4 linked regions of the Stegostoma tigrinum genome follow. The protein of the gene in region 4 interacts with the protein of the main gene of each other region in a pairwise test. Links are inferred from orthologs where the notes say so. Each region holds a gene or a part of one and is shown on either strand. Other genes may lie near its edges.

What was found.
Region 1: the proteins of lmo3 (region 4) and filamin-binding LIM protein 1-like interact in binary tests that used the Homo sapiens proteins (3 or more experiments, as listed by UniProt). The two-hybrid records come from large-scale screens. The link is inferred for Stegostoma tigrinum from reciprocal best matches to the Homo sapiens genes LMO3 and FBLIM1.
Region 2: the proteins of lmo3 (region 4) and bend7 interact in binary tests that used the Homo sapiens proteins (3 or more experiments, as listed by UniProt). The two-hybrid records come from large-scale screens. The link is inferred for Stegostoma tigrinum from reciprocal best matches to the Homo sapiens genes LMO3 and BEND7.
Region 3: the proteins of lmo3 (region 4) and G patch domain-containing protein 2-like interact in binary tests that used the Homo sapiens proteins (3 or more experiments, as listed by UniProt). The link is inferred for Stegostoma tigrinum from reciprocal best matches to the Homo sapiens genes LMO3 and GPATCH2L.

What each region holds. Positions count from the first base shown.
Region 1 is NC_081381.1:31,882,479-31,890,708, forward strand, and holds the start of filamin-binding LIM protein 1-like, read left to right. Parts: upstream 1-5,090; 5' UTR 5,091-5,270; intron 5,271-8,230. UniProt on the Homo sapiens protein: Serves as an anchoring site for cell-ECM adhesion proteins and filamin-containing actin filaments. Is implicated in cell shape modulation (spreading) and motility.
Region 2 is NC_081378.1:4,517,884-4,525,197, reverse strand, and holds the start of bend7 (BEN domain-containing protein 7), read right to left. Parts: upstream 3,361-7,314; 5' UTR 3,148-3,360; coding exon 3,087-3,147; intron 1-3,086. Other genes in the region: prpf18 (pre-mRNA-splicing factor 18), read left to right, coding at 4,669-4,734.
Region 3 is NC_081363.1:1,723,578-1,731,631, forward strand, and holds the start of G patch domain-containing protein 2-like, read right to left. Parts: upstream 3,345-8,054; 5' UTR 3,036-3,344; intron 1-3,035.
Region 4 is NC_081378.1:43,081,466-43,089,604, forward strand, and holds the start of lmo3 (LIM domain only protein 3), read right to left. Parts: upstream 3,178-8,139; 5' UTR 3,167-3,177; coding exon 3,097-3,166; intron 2,886-3,096; exon of another isoform or gene 2,533-2,885; intron 2,469-2,532; exon of another isoform or gene 2,145-2,468; intron 2,112-2,144; exon of another isoform or gene 1,919-2,111; coding exon of another isoform or gene 1,903-1,918; intron 1,542-1,902; exon of another isoform or gene 1,343-1,541; coding exon of another isoform or gene 1,312-1,342; exon of another isoform or gene 1,288-1,311; coding exon of another isoform or gene 1,233-1,287; intron 342-1,232; exon of another isoform or gene 320-341; intron 94-319; exon of another isoform or gene 1-93.

The sequences.
Region 1 (8,230 bases), on a different chromosome or scaffold from region 4:
ACAAAACGACATGACCCACTATCACTCGTATCCTTACATACGGATAAGGAAGGACACCACTTTGATTGGGACAACACGTCCATCCTAGGACAAGCCAAACAGAGACATGCACGAGAATTCCTAGAAGCATGGCATTCCAACCGGAACTCCATCAACAAACACATTGATTTGGAGCCAATCTACCATCCCCTGAGAAAAAGAACAGGCAATGACATCACCAACGCAGGAAATGACATCACCAGCCCAAGGAAACCTAGCCAGATAAATAGAAAGCCGGACATAACACCAGTGCTTTGTTGGAGGCTCACTGATGATGTTACCTAGAATGGTGACGAAACGTCTGAAAATGAACCTTCCAGCTCAGCAAGCAAACTCACATCCAGATCCTTGATAAGGGTATATCACATCAGTGCAACAGCAAGCATTGCCCACAGTTAGAGAACGCATTGAAGGGCAGACAATGAAAGGGGCTGCACAATAACAATGTCACAGAACACAATCAATTCTAGGCAAAACAACCAAAGAAATGTGGATGCTGGAAATTAGAAACAAAAGCAGAAATTGCCTGAAAAACTCAGCAGGTCTGACAGCATCTGTGGAGACAAAGCAGAGTTACCATTTTGGATGACTTCAGAGTAGGATATAGAGGCTGCATAGTTAAACATAAACATTTGTCAGTGTTGCAAGCTGCAACCCTTGTACAAGGTTGTATTAAGATGTTGGTTCTAGATGGAAAAGTGACACTGAGATGATCAACCCCAAGTGGTGGTACAGATTCACTGGGTTGAATGGCCTCCTGTTCCTATATGCAGCTGGAACTAGCAGATTGGATATTAATAGTTATTTAGTGAGAAAGCCTCCAATGTCCCCATCAGCATAAACTAATTTCATTTGGCCTTCCTTGAGCTCAAGTCTGCTCCAAGGAGGGGTTTAGGAGCCTTATGTCTATTTATAGCCAAGAGAACATACACATATAATAAATGTCAGTGAGCTGCTGAGTACTGTTGCTTCTTTTGTGTTTTAATTGTGAACCTTAGCAGATATGCAAGGCAATAACACAATGGGACAAGTAGTGCTACATCAGTAGTGACAATAAGTGACAGACATTCATTAGGTGCTACGTCTCCACTGGATGCCCGATCTGTAGTGTGACATTCACCTGCTACAGTGATCTTACTATGCTAACTCTCACTCTCAATGGCATGAAGCATTGAGTAGATAGTGGCACAAATCTTGGGACGTCACAGTACATCATTCATGCTTACTTAGCATTGGAGTCACGTTCTTGAGCCACTTATGGGCACTAACTTCCACAGCCATCTTTGTCCAGAATGTATTGAGCCTTGAGATGCCATTCCTAACCCTAACCCTAACCCTAACCTTTCTCTGCTGGACCGCTTTCAAGAGAACCTATTGATAGGTATTGCTAATGTGTGCTACCATTATTTGCCTGGATTCTGACATCTCTCAGAGTCATTGGAGTGATGAGAAGTTGAGTCACACTCATCCGTTGCAGAGAATAAAATGCTATCCAGGTGCCTTTTAAACATGGTATCCGGACTTTGAGACAAGACGACACACTGGGGAGGGGGACTGGAATCCTCCTGCCCCTAAAAATAGGAGCTTTACCCATGCATGCATAAATTATGAGCTGAGAAGAATGTAAATCGCACCCAAAAACCTGATCCAGCCCTGAGCAGAGGCAGAAGCAAGCACAGCCTTTGAAGAAGGGGAGATAAAGAAAGAAACAGAAGTCAGTCAGGCCTGGCAAAAGCTGAAAAGATTGGTCAGGCTTTCATCAATGTAGCATTTTGACCTGATTTGAAAGACAGAAACATGAAGACAGGGAAAGCCTTACTCGTTGTAGATTACACATAATAGGTCACATTCATTTAGATGAGGCCTAACCCTGAAAACATACAGACTGATCTTCAAAATCCTGAGCAGGCCGGGTGGAACAGATCCAAGGAAACTGTTCCCACTTGTAAAAGGAATAAGAACAAGAGACCTGGATTTAAAGAGATCTGCAAAAGAATTAAGGCTAAAGTGGAAAATATACCTTTTTTCCCCCATAGCAAGTAGTTAGGACATGGAAATGCACTATCCACAATTGTGGCGAAGACAGGATCAATTGAGACATTCAAGAAGGCATAGGATGATTATGTGGATAAAAGTAATCTACAAAGGTGTGGGTTAAAGTGTAGGAAATTGGCACTAGATCCAATTGGCACTGTGTCCAATTTTGGGCCCCATACCTCAGGAAGGACATACTGGCCCTGGAGCGTGTCCAGCGGAAATTCACACGGATGATCCCTGGAATGGTAGGTTTAACGTATGATGAACGGCTAAGGATTGTGGGATTGTACTTATTAGAGCTTAGAAGGTTGAGGGGAGATCTAATAGAAACTTACAAGATAATGTATGGTTTAGAAGGGGTGGACACCAGGAAGTTGCTTCCGTTAGGCGGGGAGACTAGGACCCGTGGGCACAGCCTTAAAATTAGAGGGCGTAAATTTAAAACTGAAATGAGACGACATTTCTTAAGCCAGAGAGTGGTGGGCTTGTGGAATTCATTGCCATGGAGTGCAGTGGAGGCCGGGACATTAGATGCCTTCAAGGCAGAGATCGACAAATTCTTGATCTCAGAAGGAATCAAGGGCTATGGGGAGAGTGCAGGGAAGTGGAGTTGAAATGCCCGTCAGCCATGATTTAAATGGCAGGGTGGATTTGATGGGCCGAATGGCCTTACTTCCACTCCTATGTCTTATGGTTTTATGGTAATGACTCTTAATAAGTGTTGCAGGCACAACAGGCCAAATGGCCTCCTTCAGCACTGTAAACCTTCTGATTCATAGGAGGCCAAGCCAGTGGGCTCACATTGCTGCCATTTTTCTCCAAATCATTCGATTAATATAATATTCACATAGAGGCACTAAAGACCAGCATGTACAATCCAAGTCAGATTGCAGGCAGTAGCGATGCTATTTTTGCACCCTCTGCCCACCAGCTACAGAGCTCACTGAATTCCAGACAAGACAAACAGATGAGATTCCAAAACACTTTCAGTTAAAAAAAACCAAAAACTTCATCAGGGATGTTCAAACTATTAGGTGCAAAACAGGTTAACAGGTGCAAAACAAACCAAATTTGAGAACCTGCAGCCAGTGGCAGCTCTTTACAATTGGAACCAGCCAGCCTGTTGTAAGGTTGTAGCACACACCACTCTGGGCACCAGCATCAGCCTGGCATTTGGTCTACCAACGGGAGGGGCACTGCCACGCACCAGGCTTCAGGAAACAGCTCAGGATCTCCTGCGATGCACAATGCAAGCTGCAGCTACTCTGGCCCAGGAGCACATTTTCAACAGACTTGTCTCTGTACCTTTGCCACTGGAATGCATGAATAGGACTTGGGGAACTTTCTATATCACAATCTCCTGTTTCTGTTCATTTATAGAGGTGGGTGGCTGCTGTGTGTTGGTGGGGGAATATGGTGAGAACGCTGATAAGAGCTTGGACAGATGGCTCAGACAGCCTAGTCAGAAAATTGGAGATGGCCATTCTAATACCTTTCTTATTCCTTGCTGATTATCTTAAATGTAGCAAAATAAAGTTATTCAGGGGTCATTTTGACTTTGTGAGGGTGTGAACAAAGCAATGATGAACTTTGCTAGCCCATTTTACATTTCTGCTCACCTCACTTCCACTTAAGAAATCAGGAGAGATGTAAAACAAGATGGTGGAACTTGAATTCAATACATTTTTTTAAAAATCTAGAATTACAAGTCTAATGATGACCATGAAACCATTGTCGATGGTCAGAAAAACCCATTTTGTTCACTCATGTTTTTTTGGGTAAAGGAAACGGTCATCCTTATTTGGTCTGGCCTAAGGGATACTCCAGACCCACTGCAATGTGGCTGATTCTTAACTGCCCTCTGGGCAATTAGGGATGGGTAATGAATGGTGGCCTAGCCAGTGATGCTCTCATCCCATGTTTGAATGAAAAGAAAAATCAATTACGCAGGAACTGGTGTAAGCCACTCAGACCTTCAGATTTGCTCTGTCATTTGCTAAGATCATGACTGATGTAAATGCACCTTCTGCTCCTCTTTCCTTCCTATGTCAACACCCTTTGGGAGATTCTGAACTAATAAGGAAGTCAATCTTAAAAATATTCAAAAGACCCAACCTCCATCACTCTGTGGGGAAGTAAATTCCCTAGAACTATCAAATCCCATCAGTGAAAACCAAACTAAGACACTTTTCTTTGTGAAGAGAGTTTATTAACTACATAGTCTCATAGCTCCTACTACATTGCTAGTCTCCACCTGTTCCTCCTTTAGGTATTCATGAGCAAAGCCTATTAAGGGCAATGCAAACCATCAAAAGTGGAAGGGGGGGGGGCCCTCTGGGAGACCAGAAACATTATAATTCAAAACAGAGTTGGAGGGGAAAATAAAGCACCATATCCCCTGCAATACCCACCTCTCTCTGAAGGAATTGACAGCATTGATGGAAACCAGCTCTCCAATGACAGTCAGGCAAAACATAACAGCAGGAGGGAGTAGACAGTCAGCAGAGATGACCCCCCCCCCACCGCGATAAGTCTTGACTTTGGAAATTTATCAAAAAACTATGGTCAGTTTTAAAACAAAAAGCTGGCAAGTAAGTGCTTCCAGAATGCAAAGGGTTAACAATGTTTCTCGTTGTAACCCCAGCTGTTAGCTAATTTAAAGGAAAGGGGTTCTGGGGGGTGGGTGGAAGGTTTCTTTTCAAATAGTTTAGCTCTAATTTTTCCTCCCCTCTAAATAAAATTAACCACACAAGACTAAATTGGGAAAGGAAAAATTCTTACATAATAATCTAATAAAGTTGATGTAGTTTGCAAGCCTAGCAGCAGAACAGGCTGCTTCTTGTCAGTCATGTCATTTGCCAACCAACTTCCAAAGAAATTAATCTTATCTTAGAATTACTTTATTATATATACACACATATGACAGCAGTGTGTGACTGGATGGAAACAAGTCTGTAAGGAGTGGGTAGATTAAGGAGCAACTTCCTGTTTGCTGCACTAATGCCCCAGGAATTCATTTTCCTTTTATGGTAAAGTAAAGCAGAGGTAGGCGGACAGAATTCTCCGGGTACGGGAGTGAAACGATCAGAAGCAATTTGGACTCGCTGCAGTTTAAGCTCCAGGCTCTGAAAGAGATATGCTAGTGGAACAAAACCAATGAGACAATACCTTCAGATGGTAAAACTCCTCCTTTGGTAAGTGTTCCAGGAAAATCTGAATGGGATGGGTTTCTAGATATCAACTTTTAGTCAGTTGGATACCTTAGTTATGTGCAGCAGCACTTTCAGGAAATCATGGGCACTCATAATGGCTGTAAACAGCTCTTTTATAAAAATGTGTATGTTTCACTTTTGTTCCTGTGATATTGTACCCTCCTGTTGCAGAATGTGGTGTTTGTTGAAATAAAGCACACTAGAACCTAGTCCGCCTTCTCCGTATGGTTACAGGTATTCCTCATGCGTGAGACCAAATAGTGAGTGTTGCTATACAGGGCCTTTACCCCAGCTGATCATGCATTTTGCAGCTGAAGTCACTGGGCTGTGATGAAGGGTGGGAATCCTGCTGATTTATTTCCCTTACCCATTGCACCAGTCCAATTACAACCTTTCACTACCACTCCAGTAACAGCACAAACCTGGATTTTGGCCTGGAACACACCTAATCTCTCTGTACTATGCAGGTTGGGGCATATTCTTCTAAATAATTTAGTAGCTCTGTTGTCTGTAGTTACCTTGCACTGTAGAAATTTCAGCAAGTTCCAAGTTCACAATTCCACAGTCTTTTGTTAGTCCATTCTATTGACTCTGTTCCCCTTTTGTTGACAATAGTAAGAACCATAAAGCACAAAATGTTGGATTTAAGAGGTTTTTTTTCTGTATCAAGGTCTGCCATTACAACTATGACCTTCAAATTGATCACATATTGGAGAGGGAATCAAACAAGCAGGGTGTGGGGCTCATTCAATTTGGGTTCTCATGTCCACAAGAATGGTATTTAATTATTGATCATTTTTTCTATGTCTTTTAAACTATCTGAACCAATGCTGCAAATATATGGTGCAATTTATGGTGCCACGACAATCCAGTTTACAGTTTCATTCACTTTATTGCTGAGTCTTTCTAGAAGTCAAAGGTTCCTTGATGTAGTTCATACCTAAGTAACAGTTGAGACCAATCTGAAAGGACACACCCTTTCCCAGAAAACTATTTGTATTCAGCTCATTAGGGAGATACTCAATTGCTACCAAACAAAATATATTCCAGAAAAGAAATATTGTAAGGGCTGGTGGGGGAGGGAGAAAACTGAAGGCTAAGCAAGGAACTTAAAGATAAAATCAAGACAAAAGTGAAGGTGTATCGTATTGCCAAAGTGAGTGGCAGGCTGGGAGATTGGGAAACTTTTAAAGATCAACAAAGGATAACCAAAAAAGTAATAAAAAGAGCAAATGTAAATTATGTAGGAAAACTAGCATAAAGCCTTCTAGAAGTATATAAAAGGGAAGAGAGTAGTTGGAGTGAATGTTGGTCCTTTGGAGGATTAGACTGGATGGTAAATAGTGGGGAACACAGAAATGGCAGAGTCACTAAATTAATACTTTGTTTCAGTTTTCATAATGGGGACGCTGGTACAATCCCAATAGTGATAGGTATTGCAGAGGTTCTGAAAAGAGAGGAATAATTAGGGGAAAAAGTACTGAGTAAACTATTTGGGATTGAAGGCAAATAAGTCACAGGGCCTGACTGACTTTTTTTTAATCCATTCATGGCACGTGGGCAATGGCAAAGCAGTAACAAGATGTAGAGTTAGATGAACACAGCAGGCCAAGCAGCATCAGAAGAGCAGGAAAATTGATATTTCCGGCCTAGCCCCTTCAGAAATGGTTAGGCATTATTTGTTGCCAGGCCCTAGTTGCTCTTGAGAAGGTGGTGGTGAGCTGCCTTCATGAACTGCTGCTGTCGGTTGACCTACAATGCCTTTGGGGTGGGAATTCCAAGATTTTGACCCTGTGACAACAAAGCAATGGCAAAGTATTTCCAAGTTATAATGGTGAGTGGCTTGGAGGGAACTTGTGGGTGGTGGTGCTCCCAGGTATATGCTGTCCTAGTCCTTTCAGATGGAAGTGATTGTGGGTTTGGAATGTGCAATCTGAGGAACTTTGGATAACAATAATCTTTGAATTTCTGAAGTGCATTTGTAGATAATACACAATGCTGCTACTAAGCATTCGTGGTGGAGGGAGTGGATATTTTGTGCATGTGGTACCTATGAAGCAGGATGCTTTGTTCTGGATAATGTCAATTGGTGTTATTGGAGCTGCACCAATCCAGACAAGTGGGGAGTATTCCATCACACTCCTGATTTGTGCCTTTGAGATGGTGAACAGGCTTTGGGAAGTCAGGTGATCGGTTACTCACTACAGTATTTCTGGCTCTGAGCTGCTTTTGTTGCCATCGTGTTTATGTGATGGTTCCGATTGAGTTTCTGGTCAATGGTAACCTTGAGAATGTTGACAGTGATGGTAACACCATTGAATTCAAGGGAAGTGGTTAGATCATTTATTTTTGGTGATGATCACAGCTTAATGTTTGTGCGGCATGGATGTAATTTGCCACTGTCAGCCCAAGCCTGGATATCATCCAGATCTTGTTGCATTTGAACATGGACTGTTTCAGTATCTGAGGAGTCATGAACGGTCCTCAACATTGTGCAATTATAAGCGAACATCCCAGGGTCTTAATGGAAGTGACAGCAGATATTATAGATCCATTGGTTATAATATTCCAAAATTCTCTGAATGCAGAAAAGCCTCTAGTGGATTCGAAAAATTGTTAGTATAGCATCCTTATTCAAAACTGGAGGGAGGCAGAAAGTAGGAAACTACAGACTAGTCAGTTTAATGTGTCATTAGGAACTTGCTATATCCCATTATTATGGGAGTAATAAATAACAGGATATTTGGAAGGTAAAAATACATTCCATCAGAGACAGCATGGTTTTATGAAGGGAATTATGTTTGACTAATTTGCAGGAGTTCATTGAAGATGTAATAATATAGATAACGAGGATCTTGTAGAGGTCGTCTATTTGGACTTCCAGAAGCCTTTTGATAGACACTGCACAGAAGCTTACATACACAAGATTAGACTACATGGGG
Region 2 (7,314 bases), about 39 Mb from region 4:
CTCATTTTCTCTAATTTATTTCAAGTACATAATTTGATTAAAGTGTAAAGATTGGATCTTTCTATTTTTATGGTTTGTTTGGACTGAAATAGGAAAAGAGCCAAGGATTGCTGCAGTTTTTAAAAGGTAGTTCCTGACAGTCATTGCAATGCTGTTAAACAGCTATTGGCTCAAATAGTGGGGAAGGCTTAGTTACAGACAAATTAGAGCCGGGGATCGTGTACAGTTGGAGCTTTGGCTGCCAACAAGCAGCTGTTTGGTCTGTGGATTTATGACTAATTATCAATGACAGAGCATTCCAGCCTGCCTCCATGCTTAGTTCCCAGGTAGCTGAACAGCATGAAAGCGTGAATAGTTGGGTCAGAAGCCATCGCACTTATGGGCAGGAAAGAGCTGTTTTTGTTATGCAGTAAAACCATCTCAGGCTGTTTATTTCCCCTTAACCATTGCTGTAAGCTGCAACCTTTAATTAATAAGTCAGCAATATTTATAAGTTGAACCACTCACCCTGTGACTCCTGCAACCAAGCGGAAGTACCTGGAGAAAGAAGATTAAAAAGCACCTTTCTGATCAGTAAAAGGATCAGCACAGCAAACCCTGCTGAGAGACCTCTGAACCAGGTTTCCGCCATCTACAATCCGAACCCACCACCCAAGACATTTTTCCATCCCCACCCTTGTCTGCTTTCCGGAGAGACCACTCTCTCCGTGACTCCCTTGTTCGCTCCACACTGCCCTCCAACCCCACCACACCCGGCACCTTCCCCTGCAACCGCAGGAAATGCTACACTTGTCCCCACACCTCCTCCCTCACCCCTATCCCAGGCCCCAAGATGACTGTCCATATTAAGCAGAGGTTCACCTGCACATCTGACAATGTGGTAAACTGTATCCACTGTGCCCGGTGTGGCTTCCTCTACATTGGGGAAACCAAGCGGAGGCTTGGGGACAGCTTTCAGAACACCTCCGCTCAGTTCACAACAAACAACTGCACCTCCCAGTCGCAAACCATTTCCACTCCCCCTCCCATTCTTTAGATGACATGTCCATCATGAGCCTCCTGCAGTGCCACAATGATGCCACCCGAAGGTTGCAGGAACAGCAACTCATATTCCGCTTGGGAACCCTGCAGCCCAATGGTATCAATGTGCACTTCACCAGCTTCAAAATCTTCCCTTCCCCCACCGCATCCCTAAACCAGTCCAGTTCGTCCCCTCCCCCCACTGCACCACACAACCAGCCCAGCTCTTCCCCTCCACCCACTGCATCCCAAAACCAGTCCAACCTGTCTCTGCCTCCCTAACCTGTTCTTCCTCTCACGCATCCCTTCCTCCCACCCCAAGGCACACCTCCAGCTCCTACCTACTAACCTCATCCTCACCTCCTTGACCTGTCCGTCTTCCCTGGACTGACCTATCCCCTCCCTACCTATCTTCTTTTCTCTCCATCTTCGATCCGCCTCCCCCTGTCTCCCTATTTATTCCAGAACCCTCACCCCATCCCCCTCTCTGATGAAGCGTCTAGGCCCAAAACGTCAGCTTTTGTGCTCCTGAGATGCTGCTGGGCCTGCTGTGTTCATCCAGCCTCACATTTTATTATCTTGAGCCAGGATGTTGCCAGGTTTGGAGGGATTGAGCTATAGGGAGAGACTGAATGGGCTGGGGCTATTGTCCCTGGAGCATCGGATACTGAGGGATGACCTTATAACCATATGTATAATCATGAGGGGCATTGGTAGGGTGAATAGCCAAGCTCTTTTCCCCAGAGTAGGGGAATCCAGAACTAAAGAGAATTGGTTTAAGGGGAGACAGGAAAGATTTAAAAGGGACCTAAGGGGCAACCTTTTCCACATAGAGGGTGGTCCCTGTCTAGAAATGAGCTGCCAGAGGAAGTGGAGGAGGCTGGTACAATTGTAAATTATTTAAAAGGCAACTGGATGGGTACATGGATAGAAAGGGTTTCAGAGGGATTTGGGCCAAATGCTGGCAAATGGGACTAGATTATTTAGGGTATCTGGTTGGTACGGCCAAGTGGACCAAAAGTTCTGTTTCCATGCTGTACACCTCTATGACTATGAACCACCTGCCAGTCTTTCCTTCCATCCATAACACCATTTTTTGTCTCTGTTTGTTTGTCTCTGTACATGTGACGAGGGGAGTTTACAAATGCATTTGAATTTTAACTGGTAGAGTGATCTGTTGATGGTTCATAATTGTTTCTGTAGTTCAAATCTACTTACATTAATAAACAGTAATTATATTTACTTGTAATAAACAAATAGTTCTTGTCAAGTACAGAATCTGGTTTGTGCGTTCCGTCAACCTGTGTTTAAAAGCCAGGTTAAAAGTTCAGAAATGGACACTTTGGTCTCACTCATCCAATCCTGACAAGGGTTCATAAACTGACCTAGTCCCATCTGCCTACAGTTGGCCCATATCCCTCTAAACCTTTCCTATTCACATACCTGCCCAAATACCTTGAGTTCACCTTTACCACTGATTTGTGGTGTTTTCCAGATGTAATTTTAATCAGGAAGAATTCACATTTTGATTGACTCAGGGATTGTAATAAATCCTCAATCAGAGCCTCTCTGTCTGGTGGCTGCTCAAGCTGCGATATTAAGCTCATTCCTCGGGAAATTGAGTTTGCTTCACACCCACAGTAGAAATTGAGTGAGGTACAGTGAAGATTAGCACAGGCAAAGGCGCAAACTGCTGAAAACGATCACAAAACCAGATCCCAGTTACTATTAGAAAAAGGAAGCTCCTAACTTCTGCAATAAATCTAATTTCAAATTTAGATGTCCCCTTCCTCAATCTGTGATAACTAGTTGGTGACTTATGCTGGTTAGTATTCCCCTGGTTAAAGATTTATCTCGCTATGTTCCCAGGTTGGCGGGTTTTTTTTTGGTTAATGTTTTTCTGGTTAAGGATTTTACTGCTTGATGTTTCGGTAGTTAATGGCTTTGCTGGTTATTGTTCCCCAGGTTGATGGTGCGGCTGGGTTATGTTTCCCTGGTTAATGGGCTTGTTGGTTACTGTTTCCTTGGTAAATGGTTTAATGTTGGTCCAGGCCGCGCTCTCTCACCTTCATTCGCTCTCCTAAAGCTCCGCGTTTTCCTGCTCCTTTTCCACTCGGTGACTTCCATCGATCCCGCCGCAACTCCCACACTCGTCCGGGGACCGGCTCACCCCACCGTCTGCCCGAGCCGCCGCTTCACTTTCCCGGAGACCAGGCGCCGGCAATCAGCGGGAGAGGGAGCCGCGACCGACCGCCGACCGCCCTCAGGAGGAAAAGGACTCCACCCGGGGGGGACCCTTCATCCGGGAGACACTTCACACTCCGCCAGGGGGACACTGCACACTCCGCCAGGGGGACACTTTACACTCCGCCAGGGAGACACTTTACACTCCGCCAGGGAGACACTGCACACTCCGCCAGGGGGACCCTCCGCCAGGGAGACACTTCACACTCCGCCAGGGGGACGCTCCGCCAGGGAGACACTTCACACTCCGCCAGGGGGACGCTCCACCGGGGAGACACTTCACACTCCGCCAGGGGGACGCTCCACCGGGGAGAGACTACATCCTCCACGAGGGGGACACTCCGCCGGGGAGAGACTACATCCTCCACGAGGGGGACACTCCGCCGGGGAGAGACTACATCCTCCACGAGGGGGACACTCCGCCGGGGAGAGACTACATCCTCCACGAGGGGGACACTCCGCCGGGGAGAGACTACATCCTCCACGAGGGGGACACTCCGCCGGGGAGAGACTACATCCTCCACGAGGGGGACACTCCGCCGGGGAGAGACTACATCCTCCACGAGGGGGACACTCCGCCGGGGAGAGACTACATCCTCCACGAGGGGGACACTCCGCCGGGGAGAGACTACATCCTCCACGAGGGGGACACTCCGCCGGGGAGAGACTACATCCTCCACGAGGGGGACACTCCATGCTCCCTAATGGGCGCGCTCCTCGTGTAACAGGGGAGGACATTCCACCAAGGGGGAGACTCCTTTCTGCATGAGGGAAACACTACATCCTCCACCCCTGAAGTCAGTACTGTCTGAGGAATTGTGCGGCAAATCTCCATATCTGATGGTTCCCATTGCATGCTTTTAAAAACAGTAGATAAGGATATTGCAGATGGATTATTCATAAATTGCTCCTAAACTCTCGACAGTTTGGAATTGTGTCTTCTAAAAGTTTAAAACGAGGGAAGGAGAAACTGGAAAACCAGTTTATCCTCAGTTGATAGCAAACTTTGGGAATGGATTCTCAGAGAGTTGCATCCATTGAAAACGGATTGCTGTGGTTCAAGGAAGCAGCTTCTCAAAGGCAATAAAATATAAACAGGAGCTGCTCTGGACAGAGAAATGGAGTTACCAATTCTTATGATTTGTTAAAACGTGGAGTAATATAAAATTATTTATGAAATATTTACTTTTAGTATAGGGTCTATAGTTATTTAAATGTGCGAATCCTTTTGAAGTTATTTGGCGGTGTTCCGCGGCTTGGATTACTTCGGGGGGGGGGAAGGTGAGGGCGGATTTGGTCTAATCGACGGCTAGGCCGCGCCGTCGCTGTGGTGCGGCGGCGGGTTTCCGGCGCCTCGCCCTCTGACCCGGACGTGACGACGTTGTTGTGGCGGCGGCCGCGCGGATGGAGCAGCTGAAGGCGGAGATCGAGAGGAAACGACGGCTCCTGGAGGAAAGCCGGGCCCCGGGGGTGAGGGAGAACAGCCGGCCCCGGGGGGTGGGGGAGGAGAACAGCCGGCCCCGGGGGGTGGGGAAGGGGAGGAGGAGGAGGAGAACAGCCGGGCCCCGTGGGGGTGGGGAGGAGAACAGCCGGCCCCGTGGGGGTGGGGAGGGGGAGGAGAACAGCCGGCCCCGGGGGGGTGGGGAGGGGGAGGAGAACAGCCGGCCCCGGGGGGGTGGGGAGGGGGAGGAGAACAGCCGGCCCCGTGGGGGTGGGGAGGGGGAGGAGAACAGCCGGCCCTGGGGAGGGGGAGGAGAACAGCCGGCCCCGGGGGGAGGAGAACAGCCGGCCCCGGGGGGAGGGGGAGGAGAACAGCCGGGCCCCGGGGGGTGAGGGAGAACAGCCGGCCCCTGGGGGTGGGGGCGGGGAGGAGACAACCGGCCCCGGGGGGGTGAGGGAGAGGTGGGGGTATAGCTGGCCCCCAGGGGGGTGGGGGTGAGAGAGGAGGGAGGAGGACACCTGGCCCCAGTGGGGAGGGGGAGAGGGAGAGGACACCTGGCCCCGGAGGTGAGGGTAAGGGGGTGGGAGAGCCATTCCCTGTGGGAGGGGTGAGAGGATGGCGGGGGACGTTGCCAGCCCTCAGGAGGCATGGAGGGGGACGTTGAGGGGAAGGGGTGGGGTGTGAGGAGAAGTAGGGGCAAGGCTGGAAAGCAGGCCCCTGGGGGGGTGTGAGGTGAAGAGCAGGCCCCCGGGGTTGGGGGGAGGTAGAGAGAGAGCCGGCCCCGGGAGTGAGCAGACGCCAGAAGTGGGAGAGCTGGTCCCCAGGGGTGAGGGAGAGAGCGCTAAGTTTGATGGTCAGGGTGTAGTTGCGCTGATTTTGGGGGTCAGCGGGGGAGGCATGTGCGATGCTGGCATGTGTGGTTCGTTGGGGTGGAGAATTGAGTTCTGCCCTAATTTCAAATCACAGTCTTGAATATGAGACAACAAAGTGTGGAGCTGGATGAACACAGCAGGCCAAGCAGTATCTCAGGAGCACAAAAGCTGACGTTTCGGGCCTAGATCCTCCTCCAGAGAGGGGGATGGGGAGAGGCTTCTGGAATAAATAGGGAGAGAGGGGGAGGCGGACTGAAAATGGAGAGAAAAGAAGATAGGTGGAGAGGAGAGTATAGTTGGGGAGGGGATAGGTCAAGGAGGCGGGATGAGGTTGGTAGTTGGGAAAAGGAGGTGCAACTTGAGGTGGGAGGAGGGGATAGGTGAGAGGAAGAACAGGTTAGGGAGGAGGGTACGAACTGGGCTGGTTTTGGGTTGCAGTGGGGGAGGGGAGATTTTGAAGCTAGTGAAATCCACATTGATATCATTGGGCCGCAGGGTTCCCAAGCGGAATATGAGTTGCTGTTCCTGCAACCTTCGGGTGGCATCACTGTGGCACTGCAGGAGGCCCATGATGGACATGTCGTCTGAGGAATGGGAGGGGGGGGTTAAAATGGTTTGCGACTGGGAGGTTTTCAGATTAGATTCCCTACAGTGTCGAAACAAGCCCTTTGGCCCGACAAGTCCACACCACCCCTTGGAACATCCCACCCAGACCCATCCCCAAATAACCCACACACCCCTGAACACTATGGGCAATTTAGCACAGCCAATCCACCTGACCTGCACATCTTTGGACTGTGGGAGGAGACCCATGCAGACACGGAAAGAACGTGCAAACTCCACACAGACAGTCCCCTAAGGCTGGAATTGAACCCGGGTCCCTGGCACTGTGAGGCTACAGTGCTAACCACTCAGCCACCGTGCCACCCGGTACAGTTGCTTATTGCAAACCGAGCGGAGGTGTTCTGCAAAGTGGTCCCCAAGCCTCCACTTGGTTTCCCCAATGTAGAGGAAGCCACACCGGGCAAAGTGGATACAGTATACCACTTTGGCAGACGTGCAGGTGAACATCTGCTTAATGTGGAAAGTCATCTTGGCTTGGGATGGGGGTGAGGGAGGAGGTGTGGGGGCAAGTGTAGCACTTCCTGCGGTTGTAGGGAAAGGTGCCTGGTGTGGTGGGGTTGGAGGGGAGTGTGGAGCGGACAAGGGAGTCACGGAGAGAGTGGTCTCTCTGGAAAGCAGAGAAGGGTGGGGATGGAAAAATTTCTTGGGTGGTGGGGTCGGACTGCAGGTGGCGGAAGTGTCGGAGGATGATGCGTTGTGGGGACAAGGGGGATTACATATTAAGCAATAAAACGTGAGGCTGGATGAACACAGCAGGCCAAGCAGCATCTCAGGAGCACAAAAGCTGACGTTTCGGGCCTAGACCCTTCATCAGAGTGGGGGATGGGGGGAGGGAACTGGAATAAACAGGGAGAGAGGGGGAGGCGGACCGAAGATGGAGAGTAAAGAAGATAGGTGGAGAGGGTGTAGGTGGGGAGGTAGGGAGGGGATAGGTCAGTCCAGGGAAGACGGACAGGTCAAGGAGGTGGGATGAGGTTAGTAGGTAGCTGGGGGTGCGGCTTGGGGTGGGAGGAAGGGATGGGTGAGAGGAAGAACCGGTTAGGGAGGCAGAGACAGGTTGGACTGGTTTTGGGATGCAGTGGGTGGGGGGGAAGAGCTGGGCTGGTTGTGTGG
Region 3 (8,054 bases), on a different chromosome or scaffold from region 4:
ACAGGAACATGCTACCAAAATACCATCAACATCGCCACTGTCCCACCAGAGATCCCAATATCCTCGACCACTTCTGTACAACCGAAGGCACCAACCACTCCATCAATCGATCACAATGCTGTGCACTTCCTCCCGGCTGACAGACAGAAACTGAAGTGCGAGGGCCCAGTACAGAAAGTAGTGCTGTGCTATTGTGAGGTAATGGAAGGGCTTCTATGGAACTGCTTCGAGTCCATTTTCATAAACGTAGCAACAAGTCTAAAGGAGCACGCCCCTCCTGTTATAGACTTCATTAGTAAATGTGTAGAAGACAGCATGTGGAAGAAGTTAGTTCTAACCTTCTCCAACCAAAAACCCTGGATGAACCAGGAGCTTCGCTCCCTGCTGAAGTGCAGATCGGAGGTGTACAAGTTGGGCAACCCCAGCCTATACAGGAAACCCAGGAATGGCATTCACAAAGACAGCAGAGACGCCAAGAGGCAATACTAAATTCAGCTTGAGACCTAGACCAACCTCATGGACTTTGCCAATGTGGCAAGGCTTACACCATGTAAACTGCTCCAAGCGATATAATTCCAAGTCAGGATGGTGGGTGACTTGGAGGGGGTGGTATTCCCATATGTCTGATGCCCTTGCCCTTCTGGATGGAAGCGGTCGTGCATTTTGAAGGTGCTGTGAGGATCTTTGGTGAATTTCTGCAGTGCATCCTGTAGATGGTACAAACTGCTGCTGAGTGTCGGTGGTGGGGGGAGTGGGATGTTTGTGGATGTGGTGCCAATCAAGCGGCTGCTTTATCCTGGAAGGTGTCAAGCTTCTTGAGTGTTGTTGGGGCTGCACCCATCCAGGCAAGTGGGGAGTATTCCATCACACTCCTGACTTGTGCCTTGTAGATGGTGGACAGGCTTTGGGGAGTCAGGAGGTGAGTTACTCCCGGCAGGGTTCCCAGCTTCTGGCCTGTTCTTGCCGCCCCTGTGTTAATGTGGTGAGTCCAGTTGAGTTTCTGGTCAATGGTAACCCCCAGGATGTTGATGGTGGGGGATTCAGTGATGGTAACACTATAGAATGTCAAGGAGCGGTGATCAGATGGTCTCTTATTGGTGATGGTCATAGCCTGGCAGTTGTGTGGCGTGAATATCACTTTCCCCTTGCCATCCCAAGCCTGGATATTGTCCAGATCATGCTCCTTTTGAACATGGACTGCTTCAGTACCTGAGGAGTCATGAATGGTGCTGAACATTGTGCAATCATCAGCGAACATCCCCACTTCTGACCTTATGACGGAGGGAAGGTCACTGATGAAGCAGCTGAAAATGGATGGGCCGGGGACATTTCCCTGAGGAAGTTGTACCAAAGAAGTCAATCAGAGTGTTCCCCAACTGGAAACCTTGGATGAACCAGGAAATCAACTCCCTACTGAAGACCAGGCATGCAGCATTCAAGTCGGGTGACCTAGACCAATACTGGAAATCCAGATATGACCTCCGCAAAGCCATCAGGGAGGCCAAGAAGCAGTGCCAGACCAAGTCAGAGGCCCAGACCTGCCAAACAGATCCCTGATGTCTATGGCAAAACTTGAACGACTTTACGGGATACAAAATGAAACAGCATAAGATAGCGGACAACGATGCATCCCTCCCTGACATGCTCAATGCTTTCTATGCTCCGTTTGAGCAGAATACCACCAGCATGGCAACTCCTGCCCCAACAGCCTGAGGCACACCTGTTCTGTCTATCGCTCTTCAGAAGTCAGATCAGTCTTCCTGAGAGTCAACCCAAGGAAAATGATGGGCCCAGTTGGTGTCCCCGGTCAAGCATTCAGATCCTGCGCATTCCTGGACATCTTCAACTTCTCCCTCCTACAAGCCGAAGTGCCCACCTGCTTCAAGAAGACCACCATCCCCGTACTAGAGAAAGCACATGCAGTGTGCCTTAATGACTAACGTCCAATAGCTCTGACTTCAATAAACATGAGGTGCTTTGAGATGCTGGTCATGGCCACCATCAAGTCCAAGCTCTCAACCTGCCTCAATCCCCTACAGTCTGCCTACCAACATAACAGATCCACAGAGGATGCCATTTCTCTGGCCCTGCACTCATCCCTGGAACATCTGGATAACAAAGACTCCTGTGTCAGGCACCTGCTCGTTGAGTACAGCCCTGCCTTCAACATCATAATTCCAAACAAACTCATCTCTACCCTCCAAGACCTAGTTCCCAGCTCCCCCCTCTAACTGGATCCTCAACTTCCTGATCCACAGGCCACAATCAGCAAGGATAAACAAAAACACCTCCTCCACAATGGTCCTCAACACTGGTTCCCTACTGTACTCCTTATACATTCATGGCAGCATGTCTTCAAAGTTCTCGATTTTCATCGATGCACCAGAGAAAGCGTCCATCAGGATGCATCAAGACTTTGTACAGCAACTGCTCTTCCTAAAACTACAAGAAACTAGAGAGTTGTGAACACAGCCCAGACCTGCACACAAACCAGCCTTCCTTACACTAACGCCGCCTATATTTCCGCACTGCCCCAGGTAAACAGCCCACTTAATCAAAGATCCCTCCCACCCTGGTTATAGTTTCTGCCACCCTCTTCCATTGGGCAGGAGGTATAAAAATTTGAATACACGTATAAACAGATCAAGAACAGCTTCTGCCTTGGTGATAGCAGGCTTTTAAACGAATATCTCCAATGTTAGTTCTGATCTCGTTCTCTCTGCACTTTATCTGTGACTGTCATACTGTATTCTGCACTCTGTTCTGGCAGCCTGATGCACTTGGTACGGAACGATCTGGATATATCGCGCACTAAACAGCACTTTGCACTGTACCTCGATACGTGACAATAAATTAAATCAAAACCCACACATTAACCTTAAGAGAATCCTGAATGGAGACTCCCAAGCCCCCTTGTGCATCAGATTCCCAACGCCTTTCCCCATTGCCGACTCTCCCAACATGCCCAACTACTTAATAAAAACTGAAAGAACTGCGGATGGTGTAAATCAGGAAGAAAAAACCAGCCAGCTTGCCTGTAGCAGTTCTGACGAAGCGTCACCGGACTCAAAACATTAACTCGGTTTTTTTCCTTCACAAATGCTCTCTCTCTATCTATATCGATCCCAGTCTCTCTCTCTCTCTATCCCAATCACCCTCTCTCTCTCACTATCCCAATCTCCCTTTCCCTTGCTATCACAGTCACTCTCTCTCTCTCTCCCTATCCCAGTCTCTCTCTCTGTCTCTCTGTCTCTCTCTCTCTCTAACCCAGTCTTTCTCTCTCTCTCTCTATCCCAGTCGCACTCTCTCTCTCTCTCTCTCTATCCCAGTCTCTCTCTCTCTCTCTCTCTCTAACCCAGTCTCTCTCTCTATCCCAGTCGCGCTCTCTCTCTCTCTCTCTCTCTCTCTCTCTCTATCCCAGTCGCGCTCCCTCTCTCTCTACCCCAGTCTCTCTCTCTCTCTATCCCAGTGTCTCTCTCTCTCTCTCTCTCTCTCTATCCCTCTATCCCAGTCTCTCTCTCACTCTCTATCCCAGTCGCGCTCTCTCTCTCTCTATCCCAGTAGCGCTCATCCTCTCTCTCTCTCTCTCTCTCAGTTGCGCTCATCCTCTATCTATCCCAGTCGCCCTCTGTGTCTCTCTCTCTATCCCAGTCGCTCTCTCTCTCTCTCTCTCTCTATCCCAGTCTCTCTCTCTCTCTATCCCTCTACCCCAGTCTCTCTCTCTCTCTCTATCCCAGTCGCTCTCGCTCTCTCACTCTATCCTAGTCGCTGTCTCTCTCTCTATGCCACTCGCGCTCTCACTATCTCTATCACAGTCGCTCTGTCTCTCTCTCTATCCCAGTCTCTCTCTCTCTCTCTATCGCAGTCGCGCTCTCTCTCTCTCTCTCTCTATCCCAGTAGCGTTCATCCTCTCTCTCTCTCAGTTGCGCTCATCCCCTCTCTCTCTATCCCAGTCTCTCTCTCTCTCTATCCCAGTCCCTCTCTCTCTCTCTATCCCAGTTGCGCTCCCTCTCTCTCTACCCCAGTCTCTCTCTATCTCTCTCTCTAACCCACTCTCTCTCTCTCTCTATCCCAGTCTCTCTCTCTCTCTCTCTCTATCCCAGTCTCTCTCTCACTCTCTATTCCAGTCGCGCTCTCTCTCGCTCTCTATCCCAGTCGGGCTCTCTCTCTCTCTATCCCAGTAGCGCTCATCCTCTCTCTCTCTCTCAGTTGCGCTCATCCTCTCTCTATCCCAGTCGCCCTCTGTGTCTCTCTCTCTATCCCAGTCGCTCTCTCTCTCTCTCTATCCCTCTATCCCAGTCTCTCTCTCTCTCTCTCTATCCCTCGACCCCAGTCTCTCTCTCTCTCTCTCTATCCCAGTCGCTCTCGCTCTCTCACTCTATCCCAGTCGCTGTCTCTCTCTCTATGCCAGTCACACTCTCACTAACTCTATCACAGTCGCTCTGTCTCTCTCTCTATGCCAGTCGCGCTCTCACTAACTCTATCACAGTCGCTCTGTCTCTCTCTCTATGCCAGTCGCGCTCTCACTAACTCTATCACAGTCGCTCTGTCTCTCTCTCTATCCCAGTCTCTCTCTCTCTCTCTATCACAGTCGCGTACTCTCTCTCTCTCTATCCCAGTCGCGTTCTCTCTCTCTATCCCAGTCGCTCTCACTCTCTCTCTCTCTATCCCAGTCTCTCTCTCTCTCTCTCTCTCTCTCTATCCCAGTCGCGCTCTCTCTCTATCCCATTCGCTCTCTCCCTCTCTCTCTATCCCAGTCACGCTCTCTCTCTCTCTCTATATCCCAGTCTCTCTCTCTCTATCCCAGTCGCGCTCTCTCTCTATCCCATTCGCTCTCACCCTCTCTCTCTATCCCAGTCACGCTCTCTCTCTCTCTCTATATCTCAGTCTCTCTCTCTCTATCCCAGTCGCTCTCGCTCTCTGACTCTATCTCAGTCGCTCTCTCTCTCACTCTCTCGCTCTCTCTATTCCAGTCGCGCGCTCTCTCTCTCAGTCTCTATTCCAGGCACGCTCTCTCTCTCTCTCTATCCCAGGCGCACGCGCTCTCTCTCTCTCTCTCTATCCCAGTCTCTCTCTCTCTCTCTATACCTCTACACCAGTCTCCCTCTCTCTCTCTCTATATCCCAGTCGCTCTCGCTCTCTCACTCTATCCCAGTTGCTGTCTCTCTCTCTCTCTATCCCAGTCTCTCTCTCTCTCTCTCTCTCTCTATCCCAGTCTCTCTCTCTCTCTCTATCCCAGTCGCGCTCTCTCTCTATCCCATTCGCTCTCTCCCTCTCTCTCTATCCCAGTCACGCTCTCTCTCTCTCTCTCTCTATATCCCAGTCTCTCTCTCTCTCTCTCTCTATCCCAGTCGCTCTCGCTCTCTGGCTCTATCCCAGTCGCTCTCTCTCTCTCTCTCTCGCTCTCTCTATTCCAGTCGCGCGCTCTCTCTCTCAGTCTCTATTCCAGGCACGCTCTCTCTCTCTCTATCCCAGGCGCACGCGCTCTCTCTCTCTCTCTATCCCAGTCGCGCTGTCTCTCTCTCTCTATCCCAGTCGCGCTCTCTCTCTCTCTCTATCCCAGTCTCTCTCTCTGTATCACAGTCACTCGCTCTCTCTCTCTATCCCAGTCGTGCTCTCTCTCTCTCTATCCCAGTCGCGCGCTCTCTCTCCCTCTATCCCAGTCACGCTCTCTCTCTCTCTCTCTCTCTATCCCAGTCGCGCGCTCTCTCTATCCCATTCGCTCTCTCTCTCTCTCTCTAATCCAGTCACGCTCTCTCACAATCTCTATATCCCAGTCTCTCTCTCTCTCTCACTCTCTCTATCCCAGTCGCCCTCTGTGTCTCTCTCTCTATCCCAGTCGCGCTCTCTCTCTCTCTCTATCCCTCTATCCCAGTCTCTCTCTCTCTCTATCCCTCTACCCCAGTCTCTCTCTCTCTCTATCCCAGTCGCTCTCGCTCTCTCACTCTATCCCAGTCGCTGTCTCTCTCTCTATGCCAGTCGCACTCTCACTAACTCTATCACAGTCGCTCTGTCTCTCTCTCTATCCCAGTCTCTCTCTCTCTCTCTCTATCACAGTCGCGTTCTCTCTCTCTCTCTATCCCAGTCGCGCTCTCTCTCTCTATCCGTCGCTCTCACTCTCTCTCTCTACCCCAGTCTCTCTCTCTCTCTATCCCAGTCGCTCTCGCTCTCTGACTCTATCCCAGTCGCTCTCTCTCTCTCTCTCTATTCCAGTCACGCGCTCTCTCTCTCAGTCTCTATCCCAGTCACGCTCTCTCTCTCTCTCTATATCCCAGTCTCTCTCTCTCTCTCTCTCTCTATCCCAGTCGCTCTCGCTCTCTGACTCTATCCCAGTCGCTCTCGCTCTCTCTCTCTATTCCAGTCACGCGCTCTCTCTCTCAGTCTCTATTCCAGGCATGCTCTCTCTCTCTCTATCCCAGGCGCACACGTTCTCTCTCTCTCTCTATCCCAGTCACGCTCTCTCTCTCTCTCTCTATCCCAGTTGCCCTGTCTCTCTCTCTCTATCCCAGTCGCTCTCTCTCTCTCTCTATCCCTCTATCCCAGTCTCTCTCTCTCTCTATCCCTCTACCCCAGTCTCTCTCTCTCTCTCTCTATCCCTCTATCCCAGTCTCTCTCTCTCTCTATCCCTCTACCCCAGTCTCTCTCTCTCTCTCTCTATCACAGTCGCTCTGTCTCTCTCTCTATGCCAGTCGCACTCTCTCTCTCTATCACAGTCGCGTTCTCTCTCTCTCTCTCTATCCCAGTCACGCTCTCTCTCTCTATCCCAGTCGCGCTGTCTCTCTCTCTCTATCCCAGTCGCGCTCTCTCTCTCTCTATCCCAGTCTCTCTCTCTGTATCACAGTCACTCGCTCTCTCTCTCTATCCCAGTCGCGCTCTCTCTCTCTCTATCCCAGTCGCGCGCTCTCTCTCTCTCTATCCCAGTCTCTCTCTCTCTCTCTCCCATTCGCCCTCTGTGTCTCTCTCTCTATCCCAGTCGCTCTCGCTCTCTCACTCTATCCCAGTCGCTGTCTCTCTCTCTATGCCAGTCGCGCTCTCACTATCTCTATCACAGTCGCTCTGTCTCTCTCTCTATCCCAGTCTCTCTCTCTCTCTCTCTCTATCACAGTCGCGCTCTCTCTCTCTCTCTCTCTCTCTATCCCAGTAGCGCTCATCCTCTCTCTATCCCAGTCTCTCTCTCTCTCTATCCCAGTCCCTCTCTCTCTCTCTATCCCAGTTGCGCTCCCTCTCTCTCTACCCCAGTCTCTCTCTCTAACCCAGTCTCTCTCTCTCTCTATCCCAGTCTCTCTCTCTCTCTCTATCCCAGTCTCTCTCTCTCTCTCTATTCCAGTCGCGCTCTCTCTCTCTCTCTCGCTCTCTATCCCAGTCGGGCTCTCTCTCTCTCTATCCCAGTAGCGCTCATCCTCTCTCTCTCTCTCAGTTGCGCTCATCCTCTCTCTATCCCAGTCGCCCTCTGTGTCTCTCTCTCTATCCCAGTCGCTCTCTCTCTCTCTCTATCCCTCTATCCCAGTCTCTCTCTCTCTCTATCCCTCTACCCCAGTCTCTCTCTCTCTCTCTCTCTATCCCAGTCGCTCTCGCTCTCTCACTCTATCCCAGTCGCTGTCTCTCTCTCTATCCCAGTCGCTCTCGCTCTCTCACTCTATCCCAGTCGCTGTCTCTCTCTCTATCCCAGTCTCTCTCTCTCTCTCTCTCTCTATCACAGTCGCGCGCTCTCTCTCTCTCTCTCTATCCCAGTAGCGCTCATCCTCTCTCTCTCTCAGTTGCGCTCATCCCCTCTCTCTCTATCCCAGTCTCTCTCTCTCTCTATCCCAGTCCCTCTCTCTCTCTATCCCAGTCCCTCTCTCTCTCTCTCTCTATCCCAGTTGCGCTCCCTCTCTCTCTACCCCAGTCTCTCTCTATCTCTATCTCTAACCCAGTCTCTCTCTCTCTCTATCCCAGTCTCTCTCTCTCTCTCTCTCTCTCTCTCTCTCTCTCTATCCCAGTCTCTCTCTCACTCTCTATCCCAGTCGGGCTCTCTCTCTCTCTATCCCAGTTGTGCTCATCCTCTCTCTATCCCA
Region 4 (8,139 bases):
AAAAGGGAAGAGAATTTTTAGATCAAAACAGCAATTACTGCCTTTAATTTTCGATAGCTTCTCAGACATACACATCCATTTGATGGAAACCTAGATTTAGAAGTGAGAGTTTGGGCATGGTCCACAGTGTTTACATTTCTTAATGATCTCAGTCCATTTAAATAGCGCTCACTCCAATTGCTAAGATTTTATTGTAAACAGACCTCACCATCACCTTCTTCTGCTCTTTTACCCTAATGGCACTTAATTCTCTTCCCCCCCGCCAAAAAAAACAAAACCGAGCTAGACCAGAGGGGAGGAGCAGGGACTAACTCATTACCATGCTCAAGATTAGTAAGACTTTCACTTCCGTGGAATATGTTGCGCTCCATTGTTTTGTTTTAAAAAGAGAACAGATTCCTAAACCGATCCTTAACTCATTTGTCCCTGGGGAGGGGAGGGCAGAGAGAGAGAGAGAGAGAGAGAGAGAGAGACAGACACAGAGACTGAGGGAAAGATTTGGCAAATTGGAAGTTTTTGGTCCCGCTTAATAAAAAAAAGGTGGTAAATGAGAAGGAGAGAATTTTGCCAACACTGTTTCATTATATCATTGATGGATGGCAAACAAAAGATTTTTGAGGGGTGGGTGAATAATAAACGTTGGAATCAATCTTAAAGCCGTTTCTTTCTCTCTCGCTCCTGGTTCAATGGGTCCAGAGCGCCCCTGCGGATAACCACCCTCCGGAATTACAATGCAAATAAATGTCCCCAGTTCAGGCTTTTTTTAAAAAAAGCTATTTCTTTATAAAGAACTGGAGCTCGGAACCAATTTGATTCCCACTCCCTTCTTAGATGTAGCTGTAAGGCTGAAGAGATACTGACATTTTTCCACTCTTATCAGTTTAATTACAGTTTCCATGGCAGCAAAGTGCTGGTGCTTGGCAAAGGCCAATGAGATTTTGCGACGGCCACCCCAATTTCTGATGCAGCCAGCATACAAAACACACAGTAAAGAGAAAAGCCCACTCTCATCGCTAACATGCTCAATTTAATGTCTTTTTCTCCCCCCCTTTCTCTACCCCGCGAGAAGAATGGTTTGAATAATGCGAAGAGAGCCATTTACAGATGACAACACTTTTGACAGAAAAAAGGAATCCTTCAGAAAGCACTAAAATAAAAAATCATGCAAGTCACAGAAGGCGTCACGCTGCTTGTATAGGTGGAAAAGGCAGAGAGATTCTTATTCCACAAACCTCTGAAGAACTCGGCTTTGTGCAGAATCGCAGACACACACACATACAATAGCATCGAGAATCACGTTCGCCGCCTTACCATAAAATAACTTTCCTCCCCTTTTTTGCATCGGTGTGTGTACGTTTTTTTTTAGAAGAGGGGGAGGGGGGGGGTGCTTGGTAGGGTGACCAGGTCTCTAGCAGTTTCTTGCTGGAAGAGCCGGTTCCTTCCCCGTCAGGGTGAACTGGCGACGATGAGCGAGTACACCGAGCCAGGTCATTGTTGACACCGACAAAGACACACGCTTTACAAACGTACCGCACGTTTCCAATCATCAGCCTGACACTTCGAGGCAGTTAGTGTGAATGCGGAATGACAGCCCCACACTTTTTTGGTAGGGGGTGGGGGAAGGAATTTACTTGTAACCCCCCCCCCCTTGCAGTGGCAAGAGCTCCCCCACACAAAAAAAAAACTTTTTGTATTTTTTTTCCATTAACAAGAATCCCAGAAAATATCTAACCAGAGGAAACTTACCTTAGCCTCAAAAAAACAAATAAGTCCCCTACAGAAGGGCGCAGTGACAACGCAGAAAGTTCAAATCATTCAGAAATATAAAACGCACACTCTACAAAAGCAAAACACAGCCCAGAGTAGCCGGGAAATAGCCAGAGGGATACTCTTTCCACTTACCGTCTCTATTCAACATGAAAAAGAAACCCTCTCCAAAATATGTTCAGAATACAGCGTGTACTTTCTTCCAACGCAAGGTCAACACACGGAATGCACTTGAATCGTTAAAAGAAAGTTTTAAAGATAATGAGATCCCCAAGGAACTGCCAGTAATCGAGTTGATCACAACGGAGCTACAGGTGTTCCGTCTGGGTATCTGCAGTGTAACCTTTCCCTGCGACGAATGATGGAGGACAACTTACCTATCAGCTTATAAGAATTGTCCTAAACGAATTCAGCCTCATCATCTGCAAATTCAATCCTTCGCCAGCGAGACACACAATGCAGTAAAAGGTCATTCAATTATTAGCGAGGTAGCGCGGCTGCCGCCACACACACACACAGACGCGCACACACACACTCGACAAGGCACACGGCAGCGCTCCCCCAGACTTCGATATTACCACACGCACACACTCTGCTGTCGACCCAAGTCCAGCTATAGCCCTGGGATGAATCCTGTCTCAATGGCTAATTTCCCCATGGTGAAAATTTAGGAACAGCCGCAAGCTTTTGGTTAGTCAGAACCACACACACACACACAAGCCGTTCTCAGGGAGGGGTGTGTATAAAAAAAGCTAGAAAACCAACCTCTTGAGTGCGTCCAGTTTCAGAGACTGCGGATTAATGAGAGCTTTCTTATTGATTTAACCGTTTCACAAAAAAAGTGTAGTAGAGCCGAGTTGTGGTTCCCCCTCCCCGTTTCACAAAAAAACCTTCTCTACTGTTTAGCCCTTTACAACTATGAGATATCAACGCCTTTTGTTAGCCAATACATGCACACATACAGAGCAGCGAGTGAGACAAAATCAAAACAAATAGAACAGCTAATGAGGACAATTAAATTAATTATGTTCAAGGAGATGAGTTTTTTTTTAAAAATCTGTATGATCTGCTATCCCTCGTTTGCAAGGACTGCTCTGTAATTCATGGCAAATGATTAGGGCATCTATGCAAATCTTTGTTTAAATCATTCAACTAATTAAATGATAGGATTATTCTTCTGCCTACAGTGACATCATTTCCCAGTAATTAGTACTCTATTTAGACTGTAGCAATAGATTCTTAATAGCACCAGCGAGTTGCAGACGTTTAACCATTTTCTCACGCGTCTGAGAAACTGTCCAAAACCCCGGTTCTATATTGTACTTTTACCTCCTCGGAGGTGAATAATACGCCCCAACTTCATTTGAAGAGAAAACACATAGGAATCAATAGTTAACATTCAGCTCCATGCTACTCATTTCTCTCATTCCCACCCCCACCCACTACACAAAATGTAATGATAATAAGATGGGTCATAAAATGCTCCTCTTTTCATTATGACTGATGAAATGCATTAAAACTGACAGGGTATTACCTGACAGTAATTAGGTTTTGTCATGAATTAAATTATTTGAATGCGGACTATCTTCCCAATCGTGCAATTTTCAGGGAATTTTTTAAGTCAGAAGAGACAGAAAATAGCATTTCCCCCCTCTCTTCATAATCATATGAATTATTCACAGAATCATCACAAACCATACAGTTGAAGAGGCCCACCACTTAGTGCATTGCACAGATGTGATCAGCAGTGATGACTAGCAATGAAATACTAGGGGACACACACGCACAGTGATTTGGTGAACAAGAGGTGGAATTTAATCATCAATTGATATTCACATATTAAAAAAACAAACACTAATTCATAATCTCCACAAAATCCTCCCTTCTTTTCATTTTCAAACATAAATTTTTGCATTTACTCCCTCTGTCAAGCCAGAAGGGAGTTTTAATGTAGGCGAGCATTTTCTTTCACTGTGGGCAAATTAAGTGCTAAATTGAAAACTCTCAAGAAACCCCTTTTAAAAAGAACTAAAACAAAGTAGCTATTTCTTATATTTAAAAAAAATGTTCCAGCCCAAACTGATTCTCAAAAATATATTGCAACCTTTCCATTCATCAACTAAGGCAGTTTATCCCCTATTTCACAAGCACCCTTTAAAATCAAATTCAACACAGAAGACTGTAATAGATAGAACTCACCTTATTTCAAACCACTGCTGAGCAGGTTTCAAAGAAAAAGATCCGTCAAGTTTTCACTTTTTTAAAAAACTGCTTTGCACTAATGCGTTGTTTTGAGTTCTTTCCTTTTCCTCAAAAGGAGATCAAACAGAAATCCTATATTCACAAATAGAAACACTAAACAGTGTTGTTGAGGCAAGAATTAAGTGTTAGGCTGTTTCTTCCTCTTCTGAAAATAAAACTCTGATTCCGGGGAAGACAGAGAGAGAGCAAATTTCTTTTCATGGGGATGATGGCAGAACCAGTTAGTTGTTCCTTCTAACCGCGACAGCAGGGATGAAAGGGCCACCTGTCTCTCTCTTCTCAAGCTGAGCACAAAACCTGAGTGGGCCAGCTTCTTTTCCTCCAGTATTTAAGCACCTCACCAGGTCCCTAGTTAGCAGCTTCCTTCAGCTCATCCAAGAAGCTGACAAGTACTGTTAGAGGAGGCTGTACATGTTGCTCTAATGGACCTCATTAAGTTCTACTTACAGATGTTCTCTTAACATAATTGATCTGTGGTGAGTTGAGAGGACTGAAACTTATTCCCCAGCCCCCAATTACGGTTGGGTAATTAGATCCCCAACCTCCAATTTTTCACATTCACCCTTCTAACATTCCAAAATATCAAAGTATCTCTTTCTCACAAAGCCCCCCTTACTGGACTCCACTCGCTCATAGTATTGACAGTTAGATCTGCTAACCTTTGTAGTGACGCCAGATTTAATAGCACATTCAGTTCACTGACAGAGCTCCGTCTTTTTTTCCTCTCCCCCTTTGCTTCCTTTTTATTCTACTCTGATAACAAAGGGGAAGAGAAACTAACTTTGTATGGTTTGTACTTTTTGATAAAAGCTACTAATGATCAGCCGTGGCAGGGGAAATTCTGTTTTAATGTCTTTTTTCAAAATCTGTTTTAATTCCTCAGATAGGAACTTTAAGGAGCAATGAAGGAGAGAGGTGCTGCTCTGAAACAGTGAGGGAAAAATACTGCACACCTGGGACAGATGAAGCCAAACTACTGCTTTTATAATGCCAATCAGCAACGCTGTTATCATCCTGCTAATTAGGAAAGCAGCCTAAAACAGAGAGCACTTTGGGAAATGGTAATACTATGGTTTTGCACTTAAAAGGGTAGAAATTTCCTGTACTGTAGAATTGTGGATTGGCTTTGACAATCCTTTAACTAATGGATAAGGTTTACTGTGCACTTCTCCTCTGAAACAAAGAATTTGCCAAAGGAACTTTGATGGTCTCGAGGGAGTCAAAGGTCACATCACATCACAAAATTGGTGGAATGAATTTTCGAGATGAGGGAAACAAATTCTATACACACTAATGCAGCAGTACTTTGCCAAAAGTGAACACTTGTCTGTATTTATTGCCGGTCTGAGGGTTCAAGGCACTCTAAGAATATTAGGAAGGGCTCTGAGGAAGGGTCACTCAACCTAAAATGTTAACTCTGGTTTCTCTTCACAGAAGCTGTCAGACCTGCTGAGCTTTTCCAGTAATTTATGTCTTTGTTTCTGATTTACAGCATCTGCAGTTCTTTTGGTTTTTACTAAGAATATTAGGGGCAATTAAATGTTATGGTTTGTTAAGGGCTCCTTAATGTAATTGTGGGTGAACCCATGTAGCCTTTGTGCAGGATTGTCAAAGACTGAATATAATCCTCCTGGTTATAGTGAACATAACAGAGAGAAACATTTCAAAGTTTCACCACTTCAACAAGAGAAATGAATAATGTGGAGGTATGCTTCAAGGTTCTAAGACTGCCGGGAATGTTGCAAGAGGAGAAGAGGTCAACTCAGGTACAAAGAGGCTTAGGAAATGTGCAATGCACAACTGCTCAAGGTCAATGCAAAGTAAATAGACTCCCTGCGCATCATGGAGGTATGGTGATGAGCAGACTTGGAATCACATTTTGGGTTAGCACAGATGCAGTGACTGAGTTATGCTTGGTGATCTGAGAGAAGCTATAAGGACATTTATTGAGATAACACGGTGTGAAGCTGGATGAACACAGCAGGCAGAGCAGCATCAGAGGAGCAGGAAAGCTTGACATTTCGAGTCGGGGCTGTTCTCCAGCATTGGCAGTTCCTACTATCTCAGGACATTTATTGATCTGCATTGTCCTGCCCCTGCCAGAAGTAGGGGACCAACATCACCTAACTTCGTAGATAATGTTAGAAAGGTTTCCACACTCAACCATTTTCGTGTGTAATGTTCCACGATGAGCTTGTCTGAAGCCTTGTATCATCACAACCTAGCTACACTCATTTCAGCAAGCAAAATCCTTGCCTTCTCCAAAACGGGTGGCATCTTCAAAACATGCACACTATATAAACAGCCACAAGAATACAAACCACCTGATGTTTGCTGGGTTGAAATTTCTAAGAGTGGGCAGGAGCTCTGAGAGGAACACTATCTGACAGCTCTTTTTTTAAACATGTCCATAGTCAGTGTGGCCAACAGTATTTAGCTCCCTGATAATAAAATGTGAGGCTGGATGAACACAGCAGGCCCAGCAGCATCTCAGGAGCACAAAAGCTGACGTTTCGGGCCTAGACCCTTCATCAGACCCTTCTCTCTGATGAAGGGTCTAGGCCCGAAATGTCAGCTTTTGTGCTCCTGAGATGCTGCTGGGCCTGCTGTGTTCATCCAGCGTCACATTTTATTATCTTGGATTCTCCAGCATCTGCAGTTCCCATTATCACTGATACAGTATTTAGCACCCTGTCAAGTTCAGAATACAGCAACAGAGACTGCATTGCAGAATTATGCTGGCTTCCTGCATACGGGGAAGACATTGGAAGGACAAGAAGGAGGGAGCAGCATAGAGATGGTGGGTAATATAATGGGCAGGGGTCAGAGAGACATTGGGCTCACATTTCTGGGGTAGGGGGTGATGTGGGCAATGACCATTGGCAGCTTCATCATGGGTGAGGGCCTCTAATTGAAAGGGGGGATCATTAGACAGGCTTTCCTGGAGTTCTATGATGGAGGGGAGCACTCCTGTTCCTCCTGGAAAGACAAGTTTGATTCCTCAGCAAGTAAGATTTCCCTCCATTAGTTTCCAGATTTCTAGCGCTCATCATATTGAATGGTGGAGCAGGCCCAAAGAGGTGAATGGCCTATTCCTATTTTCTAAGTTCTCAAGTTTCGATCCTTTAATGTTTTCCAGGCTGCAGGAACAGTGGGTAATCAAGAAGGCAAATGGTATCTTGGCCTTCATAGCATGAGGATTCAAGTATTTTTAAAAATTTTATTCATTAACAGAATGAAGATGTTGCTGGTATTTATTGTCCAGAGGGCAGTTCAGAGTCAACCACATTGCTGGGAGTCTGGAGTCACATGTAGGCCAGACCAGGTAAGGATGGCAGTTACTTTCCCTAAAGTACATTAGTGAACCAGATGGGTTTTTTCCTGACAATCGATTCATGGTCATCATTAGGTTCTCAATTCCAGATTTTTTAAATTGAATTCAGACTGAAGAGAGACAGGATTGGTTAGGACTGTGTTCATTAGAGTTTAGAAGAATGTGGTGTGTGATTTCTCATTGAAAACTATAACATTCAAACAGGACTAGACAAAGTAAATGCAGGATGAATGTTTGCAATGATTGGGGAGTCCAAAACCAGGGGCCACGTTCTAAGGATATGGGATAGATCATTTAAGACTGAAGTGAGGAGAAATTTCTTCACCCAGAGAGTGTTGAGCCTGTGGAATTCTCTGCCACAGAAAGTGGTTGTGACAAAATATTGACTGTTTTCAAAAAGGAGCCAGATATGGTTCTGAGGGCGAAAGGGATCAAAGACTATCTGGAGAAAGAAGGAACAATGTACTTAATTGGCTGATCATCCTTGATCATACTGAATGACAGAATGGAATCAAAAAGCCAACTAGTCTGCCCCGCTCCAATTTTCTGTGTTTCTACTAACTTAGGAAATCTGTCTGGGGGGTCAACATAAAAGCTGGGGGTGTCTGAGGTAGGCAGCTTCATTAAAATATTTAAGTGAGACCTGAATACTGTGAGGAGTTTGTTTCCCCATGACCTTGCCCCTGCTTTGTTACAATTGAGCACAGAAAAGATACAATGGAATATACAGAACCTAGAGTGAGGCATTCTGGGTGGATGGTTTGCAATGCATAGTG